Kluyveromyces lactis: one gene and its partners. The protein of the gene in region 4 purifies or fractionates together with the protein of the main gene of each other region. This does not show direct contact. Links are inferred from orthologs where the notes say so. Each region holds a gene or a part of one and is shown on either strand. Other genes may lie near its edges.

Region 1 (3,254 bases), on a different chromosome or scaffold from region 4:
TAGGGCCTGTGCCGCTCAAACAAATGCCACTTTCTTAAAGCTAGCTGCACCTCAGCTTGTTCAAATGTACATTGGTGAAGGTGCAAAGTTGGTACGTGACGCATTTGCATTAGCTAAGGAAAAGGCACCTACTATCATTTTCATCGATGAATTAGATGCCATTGGTACAAAACGTTTCGATTCCGAAAAATCTGGTGATAGAGAAGTACAAAGAACAATGTTAGAGTTGCTAAATCAATTGGATGGATTTGGCTCTGATGATCGGGTTAAGGTGTTGGCTGCTACCAATCGTGTTGATGTTCTAGATCCGGCCTTATTAAGATCTGGTAGACTTGATAGAAAAATAGAATTCCCACTCCCTACAGAAGATGCAAGAGCTCAAATTCTACAGATTCATTCCAGAAAAATGACAACTGATGATTCTATCAATTGGCAAGAACTCGCTAGATCTACAGATGAATTCAATGGTGCTCAATTGAAAGCCGTTAGTGTCGAAGCTGGTATGATCGCATTAAGAAACGCTCAATCAACAATCAAGCACGAAGATTTCGTTGAGGCTATCGGTGAAGTACAGGCAAGAAAGTCTAAATCCGTTTCCTTTTATGCATGATTTATATGTAATCATTAAGTATATCTACATAACCTTATCGAAGGTTGTGCCGAAACCAAGAATAATGTCTCAAAGAATCTCAATTCTTCATTAGTCCAGAATGGCAATTTTTCCGGTATTACCAGCGCAACATAACTTACTTGTCTCTTGAGGATTCCATTCAATACAGGTTACTGGCAGGTTATTTGAAAATGGCTTAAATTTCTTTAACAATTTGGTAGTTTTCCAATCCCAGATGAACGTCTGACCTTTAGAGTCTCCAGATGCAATGTATTGGCCATCAGGAGAAAATGCAAAATGAATACCATAACCTGTAGTATTATGACCTTTGAATGTCTTGTTTGGGTGTCTTTTATACTTTGGTAACATTGAGTACGTATAGATGGTGTTGTCCATACTTTGTGTACAGAAAGACTGACCCTGTGGATTAATATCGATCCATGGCATAGAATGTTGTGCTGTGCCACTGATTTGTTTAATAGGAATATTGATTCGGTTCTCCCAAATTCTGACCGTTTTATCTTCTGACGACGAGATTAACTTCTTACCATCAGGGAAGTACTTTAGTGCCAAAATAGAACCCTGATGATGATCATATTTCTGTACTTCCCCATGGTTTTCTGATAGCCTCAAGTCATAGTGCCGTATTTCGGAGTTGGATAATCCTACCACTAGTTGGTTCTTGTCTTTTGGGTGGAATGTAATACAGTTCGGTACAGAGTTGAAACGCAATCTTTTATCAATTATACCTTTTTCGGTGTTCCAGATCTTAACCCATTTATCAAATGATGCACTGGCAAAAGAATGTCCATTATCTGTAAAGTTCAAATCCTTTATAGTCATAGAGTGACCTTCATACGTTCTTAATAGTTCTCTCTCATGATAAAAGTCCCATAGTTTTATTATGTTGTCGTTACCGCCTGAAAGTAAGAGATGTCCTGTTTTCGGTATGAATCGTAATGATGTAGTACCATTCTTATGCCCATAGTATTCTGCTATCTTGGTTTTCGGAAGGAAGCACCTGAATGATAGTGGTTCTTTCTTGAATTCTAATGGAATATCTACTGGGGGGTGTAAAATGCATCTTCCCAGATAGTCTTTTTCAGTACTGCCTACAAATTTCGTTCTTTCAAGTGATTGTGATGCCACTGCATCCTCATCACCACCTAAATCTAAGGAATTAGAAGCATTTGAATCCTTTGATAATTGTTCGATCTCATCGTCACTAGATCCTTGCCATTTTGCCCATGGTCCTTTCCCGTTCCTCCTAAGTCTTTTGGACTTCAATTCAGCCTTTGATGTTTTTAACGATCTCTTAGGCACAGCTACAGATGAGCCATCATCACTACTCTCACTTTCATAACCCTGTACCAGCCCCATTATTCCCTGGATATTATGGCAGTGGCAGAGTCTATCTAGTAAGTTTATCGGTTTGTCCGTGTATTACCTACAATTTTAGATAATCTTTAGAAAGATGAACCTATTTCATATAATGTGATAATGTGCACTTTTTCTTTTTGTTCACACACAGAATATGACGTACAAATCTGGATAAATAAGGAAATGACTTAAAGTTACAGACCATGCCATGATACAGTCGCATGATTAAGTGAAATGATGTATTTATGCTTTAATCAAATGCTGAATATATACATATAAGATGTGGACGTCTTTGGGTTGATATAAAGTGTCCACAAGTTTGCAAATTAGTGTTTTGTTCTTTTGTTCTTGGCCTTAAGTTTTTCAACTAAACCGCCGATCTTATTTATGTCTTTACTATGTTCAGTATTTGCAATTTCGTGGTTACGCTTTTTGCCCCTAGATTTTTTGCTTGAACGTACTGTACGTTCCTTTAAAATCTTCTCCATAGCTGGTGTCTTCTTGAACTCTGGTTGAGTAGGATCAATCGCGAAATCGTGATCTTCAAAGACCTCTTTAAATCTTGGATCATTAACGTCTGGAGTGAATTCATCATCCACAATCTTCTCCTTGTTTTGATACTTGGCCTTTTTGGATTTTTCCTTCTCAGATTTGAGAATCTCATTCATGTTGAAGTGTGCCTTGTTGTTAATTGTTGATTCACCCTCATTTTCATCTAGCATTAAGAGCTCTAACTCTCCCTTTTTCTTATCGTCATCGATGCTGTGAGAAGTATCTTTCTTCTTCTTAAGGTTCTCCTTTAATTTGGCTTCTGATTCCTTCTTAAGCTCCTTGACTCTGTCCTTTCTCTTCTTACGTCTTTCTTTTTCTTTACGTCTAATCTTATCAATGGTGCTTTCCTCTTCGTTATCATTGGTATCTTGTTGGCCAGACTCATCCAGGCCTGGAGTGAAAGTTATTTCCATATCAGCCTCATTATCGTCTTCATCTTCCTTTTGATCAAATAGTGACTTTTGCCCCACTTTTACGGAATCCATTACTAAAGCCTTGAGTTTATTTTTAACTTGATCATCATGCTCAACTTCAGATTCTTCACTATCGGAGGCTAAATAAGCTTTAAAGTCCATTTCTTCAATTTCTTTTTGAGTGAATGCTCTTTTAGATATTTCCACACGGTCTGCAGGAGTTTCATCCCATGTAAGCTTTACCTTGGAATGCTGAAGGGCATCTGTACTGAATTGTGCCGGCTTGTAATTTTTTGGAA
Region 2 (3,251 bases), on a different chromosome or scaffold from region 4:
CCCATTTTGTTCCAAGGATTTCATGCCATTGGCTAGGATATCATCCAAATCATCGCCTTCATTCTTCAATGAAACATCTCTGATAGCAATAGTGAATTCGTTTCCCTGTAGATCTCCCAAGTTCAATGGCTCATCTTCGAATTTGTAGCCACCTAGAACGACACCCTTCAAGCCCTTGTTTAGTCCGTTTAATCTGTCCAAACCAATTTTGGATAAAGACATTCTTTGACAAGTGACAGCCCTACGATCCTTTGTTCCAGAAAATCTGATCAACCTTGTTGGAATTCTCATGAATTTTGATAAAGTATTAGCGACATCCATAGTATCTTTGTTTTCCTTATAGACAGTAAAATGAATAAACGATTTTGATGGACCATAACCCCAGTTTTCGACACCGTTTGCATCCTTAGTTTGTTCGATCAATTCTTCTTTGCTAACACGTGTTTGGCGAGAAGCCATTCCAACAATGAAATGGTTTGAATCCGTCGTTACAGATTCTAACTTGTTGTCGAAAGCTCTACGTAGCAGTTGATGTATTTTAGTCCTTTCAAGTTTATCATCGAATGCCTTCGATGTTTCAATCTTTTTATTTGAGCGGTACACAGCTTCAATTTTTTGAACATCCTCTTCTCCCAAAAGTTCAACAAGTTCATTTCTAATTCCTTCATCCACCTTAAATCCTTGGCGTTTCTCAAGTTCTTCTTTTTGCGATTGCTCGATTTGTTCTCTCGTTGGCTTTGGCTTCTTTGGCATATTAAAACCTTTGTCAGTCAAATGCACAACTTCGCCTTGCTTGGTGATTTCATTGACTAAAAAGTCAGTGTACCTTTGTTTGATCTGACCATTGAAACCAACATTATCCATTGATAAGTAATGCGTGATACCAACATCCTTTTCAGTGATGTTGTTATTGTTTATACCTTCATTTATACCTTCACCAACTTTTGTCCTCTTAATATCTTCTTGCTGGGCAGCAGCTTCGGACTCTCTTTTCAAAGATTGGTCTGACATTATACCAATACTATACTTTAACACGAGAGTACTAATACCTGGTACTTGTTATAAGCAATTAAGAAGCGCAGCTTCCAGATTTGAACAACTGACTTCTGCTTCAATGTGATGAGATGAGATGAGATGAGCTCGAAATTTTTCAAGAAACGAAAAGAACCGTTTTGTATGATGGATATTATGAAAAGTTAACGAAGTGACATATACAAAGATGAAAGAGAGTTACACGACTTAATCGAACTGATAGACAACTAATAAGTACCAATGAATACATCCAGCCGTAGCTCTGAACCTTCGAAGGTAGCAGATGATGTTTACGTTCAAACTCGGTGGAATAATGAATTTAAACATGCTGATTATTTACCTGAGTCGTTACAGAAGTGCCTGGATCAAGAAAAGACTGTTTTAGAAAGGTACAGTGAATTAGTTGAGGTGTCGAAAACTGTTGCAAACGAAAGCTCTCAAGCATTAGTCAAACATACCACAAAACCAGGCGACCAACTAGTACGAAGAGTGTTCCAACAGCCACATCAGCAGATTTCATTGATGGAACGTTATGAAAAGACTCGAAGTTATAAACCGCAATGGCATGCACCATGGAAACTCAGTAAGGTAATAAATGGTCATACTGGATGGGTAAGATGTGTATGCGTGGACCCCGTTGACAATGAATGGTTTGCTACTGGTAGCAACGATACAACCATTAAAATCTGGGATTTAGCTGCGGGAAAGTTGAAAATTACTCTAATCGGGCATGTAATGAGTGTTCGAGATATTGCTATCTCAAAGAGACATCCTTATATGTTCTCAGCAAGCGAAGATAAACTTGTAAAATGTTGGGATCTAGAAAGAAATACTGCAATTAGGGATTTTCACGGTCATTTATCTGGCGTGCATACCGTTGATGTTCATCCGAGCCTTGATATAATAGCTACTGCTGGTCGTGATGCTGTAGTAAGGTTGTGGGATATACGATCAAGATCTGAGATAATGGTTCTGCCCGGTCATAAAAGCCCTATAAATAAAGTCAAATGCCTTCCCGTTGACCCACAAATAATCAGTTGTTCCGGGGATGCAACAGTTAGACTTTGGGATATCATTGCAGGGAAGGCAAGCAAAGTTTTAACGCACCATAGTAGAAACATCAGAGACTTGACGCTACACCCAGCAGAGTTTAGCTTTGCCAGTGTATCTACGAACGACGTCAGATCCTGGAAATTGCCCGAAGGACAGCTATTAACCAACTTTCAATCCCAGAACACTGGGATTTTGAATACCGTATCAATTAATCACGATAATGTACTATTAGCTGGTGGAGATGACGGTACTTTGTGCTTTTACGATTACAAAACAGGACACAAATACCAAAGTATGATGACAACTGAAGTTGCTGGCTCACTTGAAAGTGAGCGATCGATTTTATGCAGCACCTTTGATGTCACAGGAACAAGACTCATCACAGGGGAAGGAGACAAAAGCATCAAAATATGGAAGCAAGTCCCTGATGCTACAGAAGATACATTCCCTGGCTTGCCGTGGAATCCCACGTTAATATCTCAAAGATTCTAATCTAGCTGGTGTCTACTTGCAGCGACTTATGTAGAAGTTTGTAGTTTAACTCTATTAGGTCCCCGTTTTCCATCTATCTAGAATATTTCAGTCTGCATTAATTGCGAGGTTTGCTCTAACTGTCATATGATTACAGTCACGTAGTCAAGGACAGGGAACGTCAGGTTTTCTTGTATGTTTGTTCAAGCATGGTGTTTGCTTTAATACGGTAATCTGAATAAATTAACTGAAATTTAGCATCTTCAAAATATTTGAACTTATTAGTTACGCAATAAACCAAATCCAAAAACAGAGCACCTCTGTAAGAGGAACTAGTAAGGCAAGGCAACTGTTTAACAAATATTTTGGGCGAGCTCGCTAATACATGAGTCACGGCGAAGAAAAGGAACCTGGGATTCCCCAGAAGGTTGACAGCATCGATGAGATTTTCGTTGGATGCAAGTCATGGGTACTAAAAGATGGTCAAGATCGTCTTGCTGAAATTCTATCCATTAACAGCAGAAGAGATCCACCTAAGTTCTACGTGCATTATGAAGACTTCAATAAACGTCTAGATGAATGGATCACTGCTGATAGGTTACAGATAGACAAGGAAGTCATTTTTCCTAGGCCTAAAGAGCTTGAAGAGAAGAAAGACTCGAAGAAAAAGAAGCAGCAACAGAATAAAAGTGCTA
Region 3 (3,201 bases), on a different chromosome or scaffold from region 4:
ACTGATGTCGCTGGAAGAGGTATCGATATACCTAACGTTTCTTTAGTAGTGAATCTACAATTTCCTAAGTCGTTTGACAGCTTTGTGCATCGTGTAGGTAGAACTGGACGTGCTGGTAAAACTGGTACTGCACTTACTTTTCTAACCGAGGAGGAAGATCATTCTGCCATGGCTAAATTGTTCGATTATGTCAAAAAGAACGACTTCACCGGAGAAAATTACATCTCAAAAGAAGCTATGTCGAAATACAATGTTGACAAATCTTCATACAAACCAATTATTATATGAAAGGACTAGACTTTTTTCCTTGAAATTTTAGAGTCATGCAATATGAATTAGAGTATTTAACGTAAATAGTTACAGTGTGCTAGCTAATAATGCATTTAGGATTCCAGGTCAATCCTGGAAATACCCAATGGTCTGACGATTCATGCGTTCTTGTTTGAGCCTGTGCCTTGTCTTCCATTTTTTCGGATGTCTGATTCAAAATTATCGTGTTTTTTGATGAAGGCCAAACCGTAGACTGACGAAGTTCAAGTAAGTGAACTCGACAAAACAACTTCGACATAATTTGAAAACCAGGCATTGATAGCTTTTATATTCATTTCAAATATTTGCAATGTCAGTAAAACAAATCTGAAATCCGCTAGATGTTGTTCATGACGGCAACCAGTAATCCAAAATATACCTAATCTGGAAAAGTCAATGTGTCACATGACTTCACGAAATCTAGTCTTCATCAGATGAATATTGGGTTACCAAAGGTAAAACCGACGATGGTTTTGAAACTGTTATATTTGCAGCAACGTTGGTATTGGTAATAGTCACTTTCCTTTGTTTCAACTTATCTAAAATAGTCTTATCTATGATTGCATTCTCCCTAATGCTGAATCTTTCACGACTGTTCGCCTGCGAATCTCTCACTTCGTTGATTTCTTCAACTTTACGTTTTTGATTTACAGTGCCTTCAGTACTAGCCACTAGTTGTTTTATAGCTTTCAAAGTCTCTTGGGTTTGTTCTTCCAATTCTCTCTTTCGTACAGCTGGATTAGGATCCTCGTTCGCCCATTTCACAAGCAACCCAGTTCCCTCCTTCCTTAGATCCCACTCTTTATCGGTTGGTATTAATAGAGTCTGATTGCCCATTGCTTCCTTAGTAAATTCGGAGTTACACTGTAATTTGAACTTGACAAAGGCACAATTCTTACTCTCCACGTATCGAACAGAATCCAATTCTCCAAGTTTCCCGAACTTGTATTTCACTCTATTCTCAATCTGATGTGGTTTCAAAGTTTTGTTGTTGAGTGCCCCTGTAATACCACCCACGTATAAGACACGGTTAGGTTTCTTGAAGGAACCTACCCCACCCATATCATCTCTATAATCAGCAAATTTCTCTCTTCCAAAACAATCTAACGCAGAGGAATGCAAAGCTAACCTCGCAAAATCATCTGGCTCTGGAATATGATGCAAGTACCGACAATTTTTGCCTAAACAGCACATTCCCTTAGCGAAATACAAACAGAAATGAATCCGACCCTCTTTATCACCTTTAGTGATACCAGAATCGTTCTCGGGATCAAGCGAGTACGGTGTGACGAACCTAGTGGACCCACTTTGCCCCTGTGACCATTTGTTGTACCATACGTTGAAAGCCAAACCCGTCTGAGGCGGTACTGATGAAGGTAGGTCAGACTCCTGTAACTGAACCCTTGCTGGTCGGTTCTTCCAATCCCCAGTCATAATATATTGATGACGATGACCTTAATATTTGGCAATTTGCCAAACCAAGTATTCTTTAATGACCTCGAACAAGCAAACAGTTTGAACCGTCCAATTTATGCAACAACAGATACCGTATTATAACGGTGAAAACTGTATCTTGTCGAGCACACATCTTCCATGTTCATCTCATCGCAGGCCAAAGTGTTTTCAATAAACTTCAAGGTTGGAACTTTTCTTTAGTGAAAACGATCATGATCAAAAACAAAATGGAAACGAAAAAAAGATAAGTCTCCCGGGGGCGAGTCGAACGCCCGATCTCCAGATTACAAATTGCTTTGTGTTTTCAAATTACAGTCTGGCGCCTTAAACCAACTTGGCTACCGAGAGAAGTTACTTGTGTGTTGTAATTTTCAATGATGCTATAACCAAACTTCAAGGTTTACTAAGACTACATTGCCTGACATTAAGAGGTATATGGAGTATTTAAACCTTTTAAAGTATTTAATTATACAAGTGAAGTGATCACAGGACAATAATGCCCTGCACCTGGAACAGCTAATTTCTCCTACAGAGTTTAATCATTGTACATATTGTTCGCCATTTAAAACTCCAAGTTTTGTATGAAATTAAAGGGACTCATCCAGAATAATGTTAGGCGATGGACATTTCTACAACTGCTATGTACCACCTCCGAAACAAGACGCTGGCACGATATTCTGAAAAGTTGTTTATGTGTCGCATGGATTAATTTATGTCGTCCCTACTGTAATTGATACTTTATTTCTTTTTCATGTTACTCGGTACTGGAAAATTTTCATTTTTTGTTAACAAAAAGAAGAGCGATGAGTATGAGAATTGAACTGTTGAATGAATCGATGAACCTATCTTGCTGATGTGATATTGATTCCTTTCTCAATCAATTGCTCGCTCTATTTGAACCAGGGGAACAGTGAAGAACTATACATAATAACAAAGATGGCCAAGGATAAGAGTGTATCAACAGAAGACAACTACGAAGCTAGACTTCCTGCCGTTCTACCATTTGCAAAACCTCTAGCATCAAAGAAACTGAACAAAAAGGTGTTAAAGACCGTCAAGAAGGCTTCCAAGGCTAAGAATGTCAAAAGAGGTGTCAAAGAGGTTGTCAAGGCTTTGAGAAAGGGTGATAAAGGGTTAGTAGTCATTGCTGGTGATATTTTCCCACAAGATGTTATTTCTCACTTGCCAGTTTTGTGTGAAGACCAATCTGTTCCATATATCTTTGTGCCCTCGAAGCAAGATCTAGGTTCTGCTGGTGCCACCAAGAGACCTACTTCTGTTGTATTCATCGTTCCAGGCTCTAACAAGAAGAAAGATGCTAAGGCTAAGGAAGAAGAATACCGTGCTGCATTCGATGAAATTGTTAAGGAAGTAAGCTCTTTGTAGAGATATGAAAACTGTCGACAGAACAACCGGAAAAGAGAAAGTTATAATCGC
Region 4 (2,760 bases):
TATACCACTTACAAGAAGGAAAAAATTGATAGATCGTCTGGATGAATTGAAACGTCTGTCATCGAATAATATGCCCCCACCTTCTCATCGTCGACAACCATCGTGACATTTGTCGTAATGCATATCATAAATCTACACTTTTTCGGTTATCGTTTAGCATGCATGAGAAGAAGATTTTACCCCTTCATATTAAGGTGGTCTTTTCTTTCTCCTAATTCTTTATATTCTTAATTTTTTTTGTTTTGTCTACGGTCAATCTTCAATTCCAGCTGTCACGAGCTCATTATAAGGCACAGCTTTAACTTTCTTTCATTTATTAGTTTATTAGTGTTTGTCTGCTCTTTTATCTACCATCCATTCATTTCACCCAACTCCTATTGATGGATTAAAGCGGCAAAATTTTTTATTATATCGAGATATCTTTAGCTCTAATATGAACTAGCTATATATTCAAATAAAATACTTCTTACCACAGTATTATTCTTTTAAATCAATTAACTTAGTGAAATAGGTACTTAGATTGAAATGTGATATATACACATCGATAAACGACCTTATGATTGTACTGTTTTTATTGGCCTGGAATGTAAGCATCTTCATCTTCTTCATATTCTTCATCCTCTTGCTGTATTGGAATGTTTTTAACTCTTCTGGCCCCGAAGTTGGCATTTGTTCCAATTCTATTCTCAAGTGGAGTGTAGAACCCACCTCTGGACGCATCGAATTCGAATCTCATCTCATCACTAACTTGACCACCATTCTTACCTCTACCGAACTGTCTTCCCTCTTCGAACCCAGGATCCAAGTCAATGGTTATATGACGGTCATCTAACTTCGTGTCACCCAAGTATTTTATAGAATTCAATGCGTCTTCCATCTTATCGAATATAATAAAACAAAATCCACACGGCGTAAACTTGAACCTATCTAGACCCATGATAATCTTTTTTATGGTGCCACATTTGGAGAATAGCTCATATATTTGCTCTTCACTTGTGTAAAACGATAGATTACCCACATAAACTGTACAGGATTTCATAGATTTTCTCAACTGTTGCAATCCAGAATCTGGGTCACGTCTAGCCTTACGGATCAAATAACGAGAGGGCTTATCTAACCTATCACAACTGTGATCGTACTTAATCTCATCAAACTCCGCTAGAGACATGGTATTTGCTTGACTGATGCTAGTTTGGGGTATTTGGAGTTTATCTGGAGCTATGGTGTCTTATGAACCTATAGATTTTACTTAATCATTTCAATCCCAAATTTAAAGTTGAATGAATCTTTCAAGTTTTTTTTTTTTTTCCATATAAGCCATATTATAAGTACTGAATACTTTGTGTCAGTGACAGGTTGTGAAAAATCAAATAAACAAATCGGGTGGACACTGCATCGAAGCTCTTGACTGCTGAGAAAGAATAATAAGTAACTTTCAATTAATTAAATTTGAGACTATCCAGTGGTTTCTCTGGAAAAATATTGTTATGCACTCTACTTTGACAGAAATGATTCTCAATAGCCATAAGGGAAATGTGGGAAGATACCATTTTAGAATTCATAACACACCCCCATGCCACCAAGAAGAATAAGATCCCTGTTAAATAGGTGCTGATTGTTAAAATTGACTACACAAGTATTTCCAAGAGATTCAGCTACATACTAACAATATCTGAAGAGAAGGTTTCAAGTGATACTGTTTCCATAATAAAAACTAATGTTGATTTCTATTTTGTATGGTTACTATCCGATATAGTGTAACGGCTATCACATCACGCTTTCACCGTGGAGACCGGGGTTCGACTCCCCGTATCGGAGTATTTTTGAAATTTTTTGCTTTTGCCAACAACCCAACAACTGAAAATAATGAAGATCGACATTAACGAGCGGACCGTGATATATGATACTGATAACTAATCCGTCACAATATATACCACTGTAGAGGCAGTAAACTATCAAGATAGAATTAGCAGCAGTACCTGTTTACCACACATTGGATACGTAATACAATGACATATACGGTATAGACGACAAGAAAACAAACAAACTGATAGACATGAATACCAAAGTATTTCAGACATTTATGAGATGAGATATGGTTGAATTGTTATAAAGATTAGAAAACGTATGTCGAAAAACAAGTAGTTGAAAATTGTATTGGCCTAGTGTAAAAAGGAAGTAAAAATGAGAAAAAGAAATCAGTGATTGTGACAGTATTATGATATTGTATTTCAAGATTGAGAAAGGTGCGAACGAACGGAATTACTATTATCAGTATAATAAAGCCATAAAAGGAGAGAAATGAAATATTCATCAATGATTCATGATACACTATGTATGAAAATTTGTAGAAAAGGAATAGTCGTAATGAAAAAAAAAATAGATATTGTTTCATGTAAACATCTAATCGGAAGCAAACTTCTTTTATCTCTTTCTTTTAATACCGTGAGGTTTCAATAGTTCAAAGCTGCACATCAAGCCAGTAGTCACACTCATGACAGCACCCCAATTTTCGAATTCACCACAATAGTTTGGTGCACTGAAAATCGTGACCAATTTTTTCCTTGCAAAGAATTCATAGCCATCTTCTACCACCATATGCCCTCTGATAATTAAATCGAAATTGAACTTGGAACAAAAATCAGCAATGTTTTTCTTTGAAAAAGTGTAAGAGACACCACGATCATTCAGAGACCAATCGTTAATAGAAGAGTCAGGATCCGACCATAACAAATCAGTTAAAAGACCGTCGTCCGGAAT
Region 5 (2,692 bases), on a different chromosome or scaffold from region 4:
TCCGACGATGAAATGGCCAAGGAAATAATCCAAGGAGTCCATGGCTTGTTGAATGAAATTGGTGGTGCTCTTGATATAACAGAACTAATGAAACTCAAACGTGGAGAGGAAGTTACAGAAATTGATGAAATCGAAATCAACGAGCTTGAATGATCTAAGAATGCAGGCACGGGCTTCATGTTAAACTGCTTTTGATCAATTCTTTCATTTCATCTTAACGGGACTTTTATTGTAACGTATTACTAGAAAAGTATTTAATTAATATTGCAGCTAATATATAGATATTTAGCGCAGAAAACAGAATGCTATAGATCCAATTTCTCCTTGATATCTTTCGCGAGTTCTGATACGTCGCTCTTTTCATTTAACGTACTGCCTGTTTTTCCGTTTTCAAGAACAGTTCTATTATCATGAGAAACACCATTGTTGTTCGTTATATCAACTGATACTGAATCTTGACTGGGTCGCTGTATACTTCTGTGCTCTTTATCACTATGTCCTTCAGCTTCCTCGTCATCTTCTATGTCTTCCCAATCATCATCGTGATAATTAGACATGCTCTGCGTTATCATTTGAGTAAGATAAAACGGCCTAGGATTCTCATACCTACCGTTGTCTTCGCCATCGTCTTCAATCAACTGCACATACTCTTCCGGTACCAATCCTGTCTTGGATCTATCGTGATTTTCTGCCACTAACCACCCTTGGCCATGCTTGTAACTTATATATACGACATCTCCTTCTTTCAACTCCAACTCGTTATCATTTTCTGGGACAAAAGCATACATCGCTATGGCTCTCTTATTAACGATATAATCATCTGGTAGTAACACACTTTCTCTGTTCCCACTCAATCGAAGGTTGTTCTGATCTTCATCATCTTCTTCAAAATAACCAAAATGTAACGGATTTGATTCGTCATATGCGTAATCTTTTATCGATATGTACCCAACCATATCGTCCTCTTGGTCAACCTCATATTCTGACATTATGATAGTTATGTCTTCTGATGTTATTAGTAAATCTCACCGTCTTTGATCTAAGTTCAAAGCCTCATTCAATATGTGTTCAGTTCTATATTTCTAGTGTGAACGAATGCTCCACGGGAAATGATTAAATGATAAAGTCCTATGTCCTCTTAGAAAAGTTTGGTATGAAATGTAGCTTGCTATATGTAGTTGCCAGTACGACGTTCGTAGTTCTTATTTCTTTGGTACACGGTAATTGTTAACGTAGATTCGCATTTGAAGTTTCAGATTGCTATTTTTTCATATCAAGGCTATAAAGATTGAACATCAACGCACATTCACGAGATTGTTCACAGGCAAAACAGGTGAGCTAATTTAACTGGTACCTGGGATGGTAGATAAGCTTACGTTAGTTTCAGTGGAGTGCTACAGATTGAATATAATATTGACTGTGTTCTGAAATGACTACATCGCACAGACCTCAACTAGAGGCCAGGAATGGGGCAAAGAATATAGAATACATTCCTACTTCGACGCAGCACGCTAGACTTTTACCGGGGCACAAAGAGGTTAAGTATAGAAACACGAAGAAGAGGGTGTTGAATCGTAAAGTAGAAAGTACTCCGAGTGAGGAGGCTAAGAAAAGAATCAAAATAACTGGAGCAGAGGAATGCTCGAAAGATGAAGAGATACAGGCCACGGATAGTAGCGATGAGTACGAGGAAGAGGAGGAGGAGAGTGAAGATGAAGAAGCGCTATTAGAGGAGTGGAATAAAGTTAAGCAAGAAAGATTGGACAAAAAACTGAGAGAACAGCGTGCTGAAATCACAGCAGCTCAAAATGAAGAAGTGACGAAACCGCAAAAGCATGGTGGTTGGAGATCTAACACTGTATTTGGACGTAAAGGTACAGTCAATCAATCGGCAAGTATATCTGAACATAATTCAAATGGGAAGGGAAAATATGTCAATAATATTACTCAAAGCGAATATCATAAGGAATTTATACGAAAGCATGTAAAATAGTTTATGTTAAATATTTTTCTATTATGGAGAATCAATCGACAGGTGTACGTCAAAAACTTAAATGAAGTCTATATATCTGTTCTTCCGCACTATTTACAGGATGACTTTGTATAATTATACATATATGCATTAAGGACCAAAATATTTCGAATGATTTCAGAATTGTAAAACGTCATCGATGAAATTTCTAACGATGTCCTTGTTGATGGATCCGTTAGTGCTGATAAAATCAATAGATGAAGCTTTGCCTCCTAAGCTTCCGCCTTCAATTTCAGAGAGTTGTACCAAACAATCTTCTTTGTACTTGAATCTTAATAAACGGTGTTCGTAGCGATGCAAATAATTGTATCTGATCTTTTGCGGTTCTTCCATTCCTTCTAATTTCACGTTCAATTCAAAAGAAGGAGCAATGCGGGGCTTCTTCAAGCCTCCGAAAGAGAAATTACTTTCCTGTAAGAATTTCCTGAAGCTTGGTTGTTCCCTCTGTAGCCAATCGAAAAACTCTGAAGATTCCAAATCTTCTGGAAGTGCATCCACTGTATCTGTCACTGTGATTTTAAAGTCATGAGAAAGTGTAGGAGTTTGGATACAAGCTGAATTATCCGAATAAGTGTGGATGCATCTGACGGTCGAAGTATCAGCGTTGTTATTTTCATCCAAGGTGAACCAAACTTCCAAAGGAGAAACATTAACCTTGTG
Region 6 (3,511 bases), on a different chromosome or scaffold from region 4:
AGACAATAACTAATGAACTTGTGATTGGATGCCACGAAATTCAAAACGGTATACTTCACGAAGGTATCGTTGAAGAACTTGAAAAGTGATTTACCGTCCAAATAGTATATCGTAGTAAACAAAAAGTACCAGTTCAAAGTTTTCGTTAAAGGGAGGTTTTTTTCACGTCCTGATTGTCCAGTAACTGCAATGCATTCTTTGAAAGTGGCAATTTGGCAACCCAAAATCAAGACAACACACCAAAAGTGACCAGAAGCCAAGATGATAAAAAAACCTGCAATCATAACAAATGTCCAAATGGTTCTAACAGCAAAATTATATAGTTTTGAATCTTTTTTGACTTCAACCTTGGAGTGTTTTTTGTAATCTTCAACTAACCGTGTTCTCGATGTTGTTTCTCGATGTTGTTTCTGAGGTGTTGAGGTTGCAGATCCACCACGGGAGGTGTTACCAGTTCTTTTTTTGACTGTCATCACTTTTATATTCCCGGTTAGCAGATTGTAACGTGCTTAGATCAATAAGATGCTGTGAAGTAGAGATCTGTTTCCTTACTCATGCGAGTGATGATGCTCTTCTTTTTTCTTGGTTGATTATATATTTCCACCATCTATTCCAAATGGATAATTTTCTTCGAACTTCAAGATCATGTGACATGTGAAAAAAAAACCATGCTCCCAACTTGTGTAAAGTTCCTCTACATACATACGATATTTACAGATGCAGCAATAAGGGAGAGTCTTTCCATTTTAGCATGTGTGTAGGATTGAAAGGTCAGAGAAGGCCCTGTTTCTTAAGTTCTTCGTATACTTGAACACTCATCACATTACCTTCATTGTCCTCTGTTTCAAGTACCATTTCCGGTTCTTTCACAGTTGATATTTTGGAAAAGGGTTCACCTGACTTTAGTGTACTCTTTGCTTGCAATGCTTTCCATAGCTCTGTCACCTCTACTATAGTAGTGACATCTTTGAATGCAAGAGAAGGAGTTATGCCTAAAGATTTCAAACCTTCTGAATGTTTTTTCAGTGGGAAATGTTTCTCGAATTCTCTACGCCCATGATATATTTGATTACCGCAGATCTCGCAAACATATTTCACATCTAAACCTTGGACTTTGATGAGCCAGCGAGGTATAGGAAATCCGTCAGGTCCTAATGGTAGGTTGTATGGATTCGTTGGATCCATACTCTCTTTTTGAGCAGTATCTTCAGCATTGTCAATATAAGATGGTTTATCTTCAGATTCATCTTTGGCGTATATGGGTGATTCATATTGTTCTTGTAGCTTTTCCAGCTCTTCAGTAAACTCTTCATCTGTGAATGCAAGTTTTCTTTCCGTGAATGATATTGTATTTTGCAATACTTTAGAGAGAAATTTGGAAAAACAGTGAAACGTGTATTCCTTCATCAAACGCTTTCTATTCCGAGACAATGCAATATTAAACTGTTCAGTTTGAACATGAGTATTAAATTCCGACTGACTATCAAACCATCGATTAAACACAACGGAGTACATTTTCCCGCTTTCCTTCGATGGGGATTCTGTGATACCGGTCCTCACATATTTATCAAATCCATTGTGGATGGTTTTGGAAAGAATTTCCTTGTCCACTAGAGGATAAGCTTTGGAGTAATAGGCCTTATAATATTTCAGTAACTCAGTGACTAATTGGTTATATTCCTTGGTGTCTCTATCTAATGATGGGTTGAGTAAGTAGTCGTATGTTTCAAATGATTCTAACATCTTCAAAAATGAAAGTATCGTTAAATCCGCACGCTTGATGATATTCAACCACTTCTTGAATTGTTCTGAGAGATCCAAATACGTCCCAAAGTTTTCATCTCTAGCAAAGTTTCTTGAAAGATCAATTATTTGTCCTATGGGCGATATGATGTTCTTACTGGCAGCTTGAGGGCCAGAAAACATCTCATAGTCAGATTTGACTTCAACCAGAGAACGTGAGTTTACTTGACCCTCTAATACTTCTGTGGTGACGGTTTCAAACTGTTCAAAGCTAGCGTTTGTATCCCTAAAGTATTCTAAATGTTCTTCACTCAATTTGTGCTTTTGCAAAGATTTCAACAGTCTTCTATATCTTCCAAGAAATAAGGCGATTTCATATTCTTGTGCTTTGATTTGCTTTCTAGAACGTTTGCTTTTCTTGCTCCTGTAAATCCTGTTGGCAGAAACGTCTAGCTTAGGTACCGCCCAAGCTTCAACTCCCAGATTATGCAGTGCTTCGTTAAATCTGTAAAAGATTTCTGGATTTCTTCGTAGTCTGGACGAAATAGCATCCTCGATGACTTCTAATTCTTCTAATATCTTTCGCCTCTCTTCAAAACATAGATAAGTGGGGGCATTCATATCTATTGTCTTCTATGAATCCTCTAACTGCTACACAGACAGTAAACCGAAGGCACGGTATTCATTTTGAGCCTTCATCTGATCCATATTTGTACTTTCTAAGGTATTTCCATTCTTTACATTTTTATTTTCTATAATCAATGGCAATTTCGACGTATGAGGAACAAATACTAGTAAACAATGTAAACCAGCAATACAATATGTCACATATCATAACAATAATTTGGAGAGAGGCCATTTCATGTTTAAGCTTAGAAAATGTCTATTCAATTACACACTGATTGTTATTTGAGCAGTTACATAATATACTAATGTTTTCTCCGCTTCGTAGGACGGGCATTCTTGGAACGCTTTTTCTCTTTAATTTCTCTTAGCTTTCTAATCTCGTCAACTGACTTTATTTCTTGTTTCATCCCAGGACCATTATAACCCTTAACTCTAACACCTCTTTCCAAAGCAGCTTCCACTTTTTTCTTTTGGAAAGCGTAATCGTCTCTATGTTTATCAGGCAATTTAGGAGCTTTTTGAGTCTTGTGTTTGAATTTACCGCCAACCGTACGCTCCGATGGAGAAGTCGGATCAGCCAATAGATTCGATGGAATAGTGGATTCTCTTGCACCAACTTTGAGTGGAGCAATTTTTCTTGCCTTAGACCAATCTTGGAATTTTCCGGATCTGAAACTTGCAGGAATCTTTTGACCACTTTCTCCGATGATGTACTTTTTGTTGTCCAAACCTTGAGTGTTCACATATTTCTTACGCTTCTTGTCCCACTTAACCGTAGCTGTTTGCTTGTGAACTTGTACCTTGTCATCGTTGGCTAGATCAAATGCAGCATTGGAAGCATCATTTGTGAAACCAGATGATATCTGTAATTGTTTATCTTGAATGTCACTAGTTGGTGCGAAATGTGATAGATAAAAAGTTGGATCTCTGAAAGTTTTCTTCTGCTTCTTCTTAATATTTTCTTGCTCTTCTAACAAGACATCGGCATCTTCAAATTCTTTCAATACCTCATCAGGCACTGAGTAACCAACTTCGTTGTCTTCACCTTTCAAAATTTCATCTTCTATACTATGCCTCAAACCAATCATTCTCTCTTTTTCCAGAAGTTCTTGTCTTTCTTTTGCCTTCCTTTGAATTGGAG
Region 7 (2,713 bases), about 350 kb from region 4:
CTAAGTCGACTACATTAGATCAACCTTCTGATATTTCCAGACATGCAGACGTCAATTATAAGATATTCCCCGTGAAGAAGTACCTAAAACTTACATCTTTCAACCCAGATTCTTTGTTCAATGGTATTGTGAAACTTAATCAGGCAGAAAATACCTTTGACGATGACGCACTTGGGGCAATCGGTTCAGCTTTGCACGATGTGGAAAACAACATTGAACTATTGTATGCGCATGCATGCATCATTAAAAATCAATGGAAGGGGAACAAAACACCCGCATACGATATAGTTAGAATTCTAACCCCAAAGTTACCTTCAAGTGACGACATGAGTGAGTTTATCGAGGAAGGACTTTCACAAGAAAATCCAATCTCTACAATGCTAACTACAAGAATGTTAGCCAACTGTTTCTCTAACCAAATTTGGGGGAAAGAGCTCATGGGTAAGCCAGCATTGTACGATTCCGTGTTCCAAATATTGGACGGTGATTATCCAAATTGCAAACCTCAACAAAAAGACAACTTGGCTATTGCAATCGCCACTCTACTCTTCAATTATACCGTATACATCCTGGAATCCAATGATCAACAAATTCTTCCAATCATTGCTGATGTACTTAATACAAAATACGGATCATCATCTCTGTTCCTCAACAGTGAAGAAGCTACATATAGACTCCTAATCGCTTACGGAAATCTAGCCACTGTAGAACCATCGTTACATCAATACGCTAAATCCATCTCCTGGATTATCAGAGCTAAGGATAAATACGGTAAGATAGGTAGATTCGAAGATGTATTCGAAGACTTATTTAGATGATGGTAGTCTTTGATCATTAAATATTACATACATACATAAAGATACAACTTCTCCGGGTTAATTTGCTATCAAGTTATCAAATATGGTGGTGTTCTGTCAATGCTAGTGAGTGGATCATAATTCAATCATCATTAGAGTAGTTGAAGCGCTCGTCTCTTCTTTAATCCTATTCATGTACATAAGCATTTCTTGAAAAATTATAAAGGAAAGTTTAGTCAAAGTTTACATTTAACATGTAAGTAAAGGTTTGAACGAAAGATTGACAATTTCAAGGGTGAATAAGTTCAATTGAGGCACTAGCTGACCAATAAAAAACAATCACACGTTTTAAAATGTCTTTTGAGCGGGACTTAGAGAGCATTGCTGAAGGAAAAGTATGTTCTAACCAGTTTTCATTCCAGTTACAGATTTCTACATCAGAAGCAAACCGAACATTTTACTAACTCATTTCAACAAATTCAAACTAATATGAACCAGACACGTCAACACCATGCAGTATGTGATGAATGAAAGTGATAATTCAAAGTGACAGTATCAATCTTTGGCGAAATTGTCAAAAGAGAGTAATCATTCTTATGGAACAAAAAATATTAACAAGATAGAGTCCTGTGACCATGTTATGAACCAGGTTTATCGTCGTCGTGATCTGAGAAATGGCTTAGCTGATCGTCTCGGGATCTCTGACAGAGATAGAGAACCTCGTGGGAAGGATGGTGGTAGAGGAGGCTACCGTAGTAAGAGAAACTTTAATGACAGAAGGAAGAGAATAACGTTACTAAGAATTAGAAACATACCGTTAGAGACCAGTGACTATGAAATCGAAGATTGGATCAATGAGATAGGTGAAGTGGAGTCAATTAGGATCAATGATAGGAAAGAAAACAGAGTTGCTACCGTTGGTTTTAAAGACGTACAGTTGTTAGGCACAGCTGTTGAGAAGTTGAATGGGAAGGAGGTTCATGGCTCGCAGCTTGAAGTGGAGACCTTTGAAGTTGGTTCCAAAAACACAGGTAGAGGTCCAGCAGGTCCTCATGCCACTGGTGTACCCACATCAGCTAAAACTCCTAAAAATCCGAAAGCAGAACCTAAAACAAAAGAAGAGTTAGACCAAGAAATGGATGACTACATGTCGCAACCTTGAGAAACTCTCTAAAAGGAAACTGGCCCCGTGCTGTTTATGTAACTTATGTGCAAACTAATCACATGCTTGAGTTTGTTTCACGTATTTCATTTGTATAGTTGGAATGTTTTCGATGTTTTAGTCATCACACATGCTCATACCAATCTTATTGTGATGGAAAGAGTTAAGGCAACGTAAAACGAATGAAGAATATTAACCAAGAATAATGCGATTATATATATAGTTTATATATGCAGAAAAACTTGAACACTGTAAGTTGCGTTTTTTATTGGGGGGTTAGTTTATTTGCTTAATAGATTCGTTAAAAAAATCTATCAGGTTCATCATAATCATACTATGACACTTTCCAATAGGTGCTCGACAACAGAACAGAAACAAAGGTATTAGTCATTTCATTTCGTAAGCCATGTGTTGGGTCTGCTATTTGAAATAACATCCCACTTGAGAATAAATCTTTATCATAACAATTAAAGGACAAGTGGAAGCAAAACAACCCAGTTTAAAAAAGAAAGACCACTCCCACTGTTCTTGTCGAAGGGTTAAAACAGAGCGTTTTTAGTTTGTCTGTTTTTTTCTTTCATATTTCTATCCATAAATTCAAAGAATAATAATAAGTTTTGGTTTTCTGATACGAGTTGCTATAACATGACATGTATCAAATCGTTGTGATAGTTTAAGGAATATCGATTGCTGGGGTAGTAAGTTATTAAAACAAGGTAAAAGCTAGGTTTGATAAAAAAAAGAAGGTCCGCTG

The links.
Region 1: the proteins of CBC2 (region 4) and CDC40 purify together in Saccharomyces cerevisiae (affinity purification with mass spectrometry; 3 studies listed by BioGRID). This does not show direct contact. The link is inferred for Kluyveromyces lactis from reciprocal best matches to the Saccharomyces cerevisiae genes CBC2 and CDC40.
Region 2: the proteins of CBC2 (region 4) and PRP46 purify together in Saccharomyces cerevisiae (affinity purification with mass spectrometry; 3 studies listed by BioGRID). This does not show direct contact. The link is inferred for Kluyveromyces lactis from reciprocal best matches to the Saccharomyces cerevisiae genes CBC2 and PRP46.
Region 3: the proteins of CBC2 (region 4) and CWC2 purify together in Saccharomyces cerevisiae (affinity purification with mass spectrometry; 3 studies listed by BioGRID). This does not show direct contact. The link is inferred for Kluyveromyces lactis from reciprocal best matches to the Saccharomyces cerevisiae genes CBC2 and CWC2.
Region 5: the proteins of CBC2 (region 4) and CWC15 purify together in Saccharomyces cerevisiae (affinity purification with mass spectrometry, with the first as the bait; 3 studies listed by BioGRID). This does not show direct contact. The link is inferred for Kluyveromyces lactis from reciprocal best matches to the Saccharomyces cerevisiae genes CBC2 and CWC15.
Region 6: the proteins of CBC2 (region 4) and PRP9 purify together in Saccharomyces cerevisiae (affinity purification with mass spectrometry; 4 studies listed by BioGRID). This does not show direct contact. The link is inferred for Kluyveromyces lactis from reciprocal best matches to the Saccharomyces cerevisiae genes CBC2 and PRP9.
Region 7: the proteins of CBC2 (region 4) and YRA2 purify together in Saccharomyces cerevisiae (affinity purification with mass spectrometry; 4 studies listed by BioGRID). This does not show direct contact. The link is inferred for Kluyveromyces lactis from reciprocal best matches to the Saccharomyces cerevisiae genes CBC2 and YRA2.

The regions. Positions count from the first base shown.
Region 1 is NC_006041.1:1,891,260-1,894,513, reverse strand, and holds CDC40 (Cdc40p), read right to left. Parts: upstream 1,991-3,254; coding exon 701-1,990; downstream 1-700. Other genes in the region: proteasome regulatory particle base subunit RPT5, read left to right, coding at 1-610; pre-rRNA-processing protein ESF1, read right to left, coding at 2,317-3,254. UniProt on the Saccharomyces cerevisiae protein: May function in the second step of pre-mRNA splicing. Regulatory protein involved in replication and mitotic spindle formation and/or maintenance. Required for initiation and completion of S-phase and for initiation and completion of DNA replication.
Region 2 is NC_006042.1:1,034,034-1,037,284, reverse strand, and holds PRP46 (mRNA splicing protein PRP46), read left to right. Parts: upstream 1-1,272; coding exon 1,273-2,577; downstream 2,578-3,251. Other genes in the region: pseudouridine synthase PUS7, read right to left, coding at 1-1,011; NuA4 histone acetyltransferase complex catalytic subunit ESA1, read left to right, coding at 2,942-3,251. UniProt on the Saccharomyces cerevisiae protein: Involved in pre-mRNA splicing. May also be required for cell cycle progression at G2/M.
Region 3 is NC_006039.1:1,336,526-1,339,726, reverse strand, and holds CWC2 (active spliceosome conformation promoter CWC2), read right to left. Parts: upstream 1,744-3,201; coding exon 730-1,743; downstream 1-729. Other genes in the region: mRNA splicing protein PRP28, read left to right, coding at 1-288; snoRNA-binding protein NHP2, read left to right, coding at 2,701-3,150. UniProt on the Saccharomyces cerevisiae protein: Involved in the first step of pre-mRNA splicing. Required for cell growth and cell cycle control. Plays a role in the levels of the U1, U4, U5 and U6 snRNAs and the maintenance of the U4/U6 snRNA complex.
Region 4 is NC_006038.1:913,941-916,700, forward strand, and holds CBC2 (nuclear cap-binding protein subunit CBC2), read right to left. Parts: upstream 1,169-2,760; coding exon 572-1,168; downstream 1-571. Other genes in the region: KLLA0_B10450g (homeobox domain-containing protein), read left to right, coding at 1-106.
Region 5 is NC_006040.1:1,430,648-1,433,339, forward strand, and holds CWC15 (U2-type spliceosomal complex subunit CWC15), read left to right. Parts: upstream 1-1,429; coding exon 1,430-1,993; downstream 1,994-2,692. Other genes in the region: ACL4 (Acl4p), read left to right, coding at 1-153; adaptor protein NBP2, read right to left, coding at 306-989; SLS1 (Sls1p), read right to left, coding at 2,150-2,692. UniProt on the Saccharomyces cerevisiae protein: Involved in pre-mRNA splicing.
Region 6 is NC_006042.1:2,292,036-2,295,546, forward strand, and holds PRP9 (SF3a splicing factor complex subunit PRP9), read right to left. Parts: upstream 2,365-3,511; coding exon 772-2,364; downstream 1-771. Other genes in the region: CDS1 (phosphatidate cytidylyltransferase), read right to left, coding at 1-473; ATP-dependent RNA helicase DBP10, read right to left, coding at 2,673-3,511. UniProt on the Saccharomyces cerevisiae protein: mRNA splicing factors, PRP9, PRP11, and PRP21, are necessary for binding of the U2 snRNP to the pre-mRNA in an early step of spliceosome assembly.
Region 7 is NC_006038.1:1,265,919-1,268,631, forward strand, and holds YRA2 (Yra2p), read left to right. Parts: upstream 1-1,150; coding exon 1,151-1,192; intron 1,193-1,350; coding exon 1,351-1,959; downstream 1,960-2,713. Other genes in the region: DOA1 (Doa1p), read left to right, coding at 1-818. UniProt on the Saccharomyces cerevisiae protein: Involved in export of poly(A) mRNAs from the nucleus. Recruited to the coding sequences as well as poly-A sites of active genes.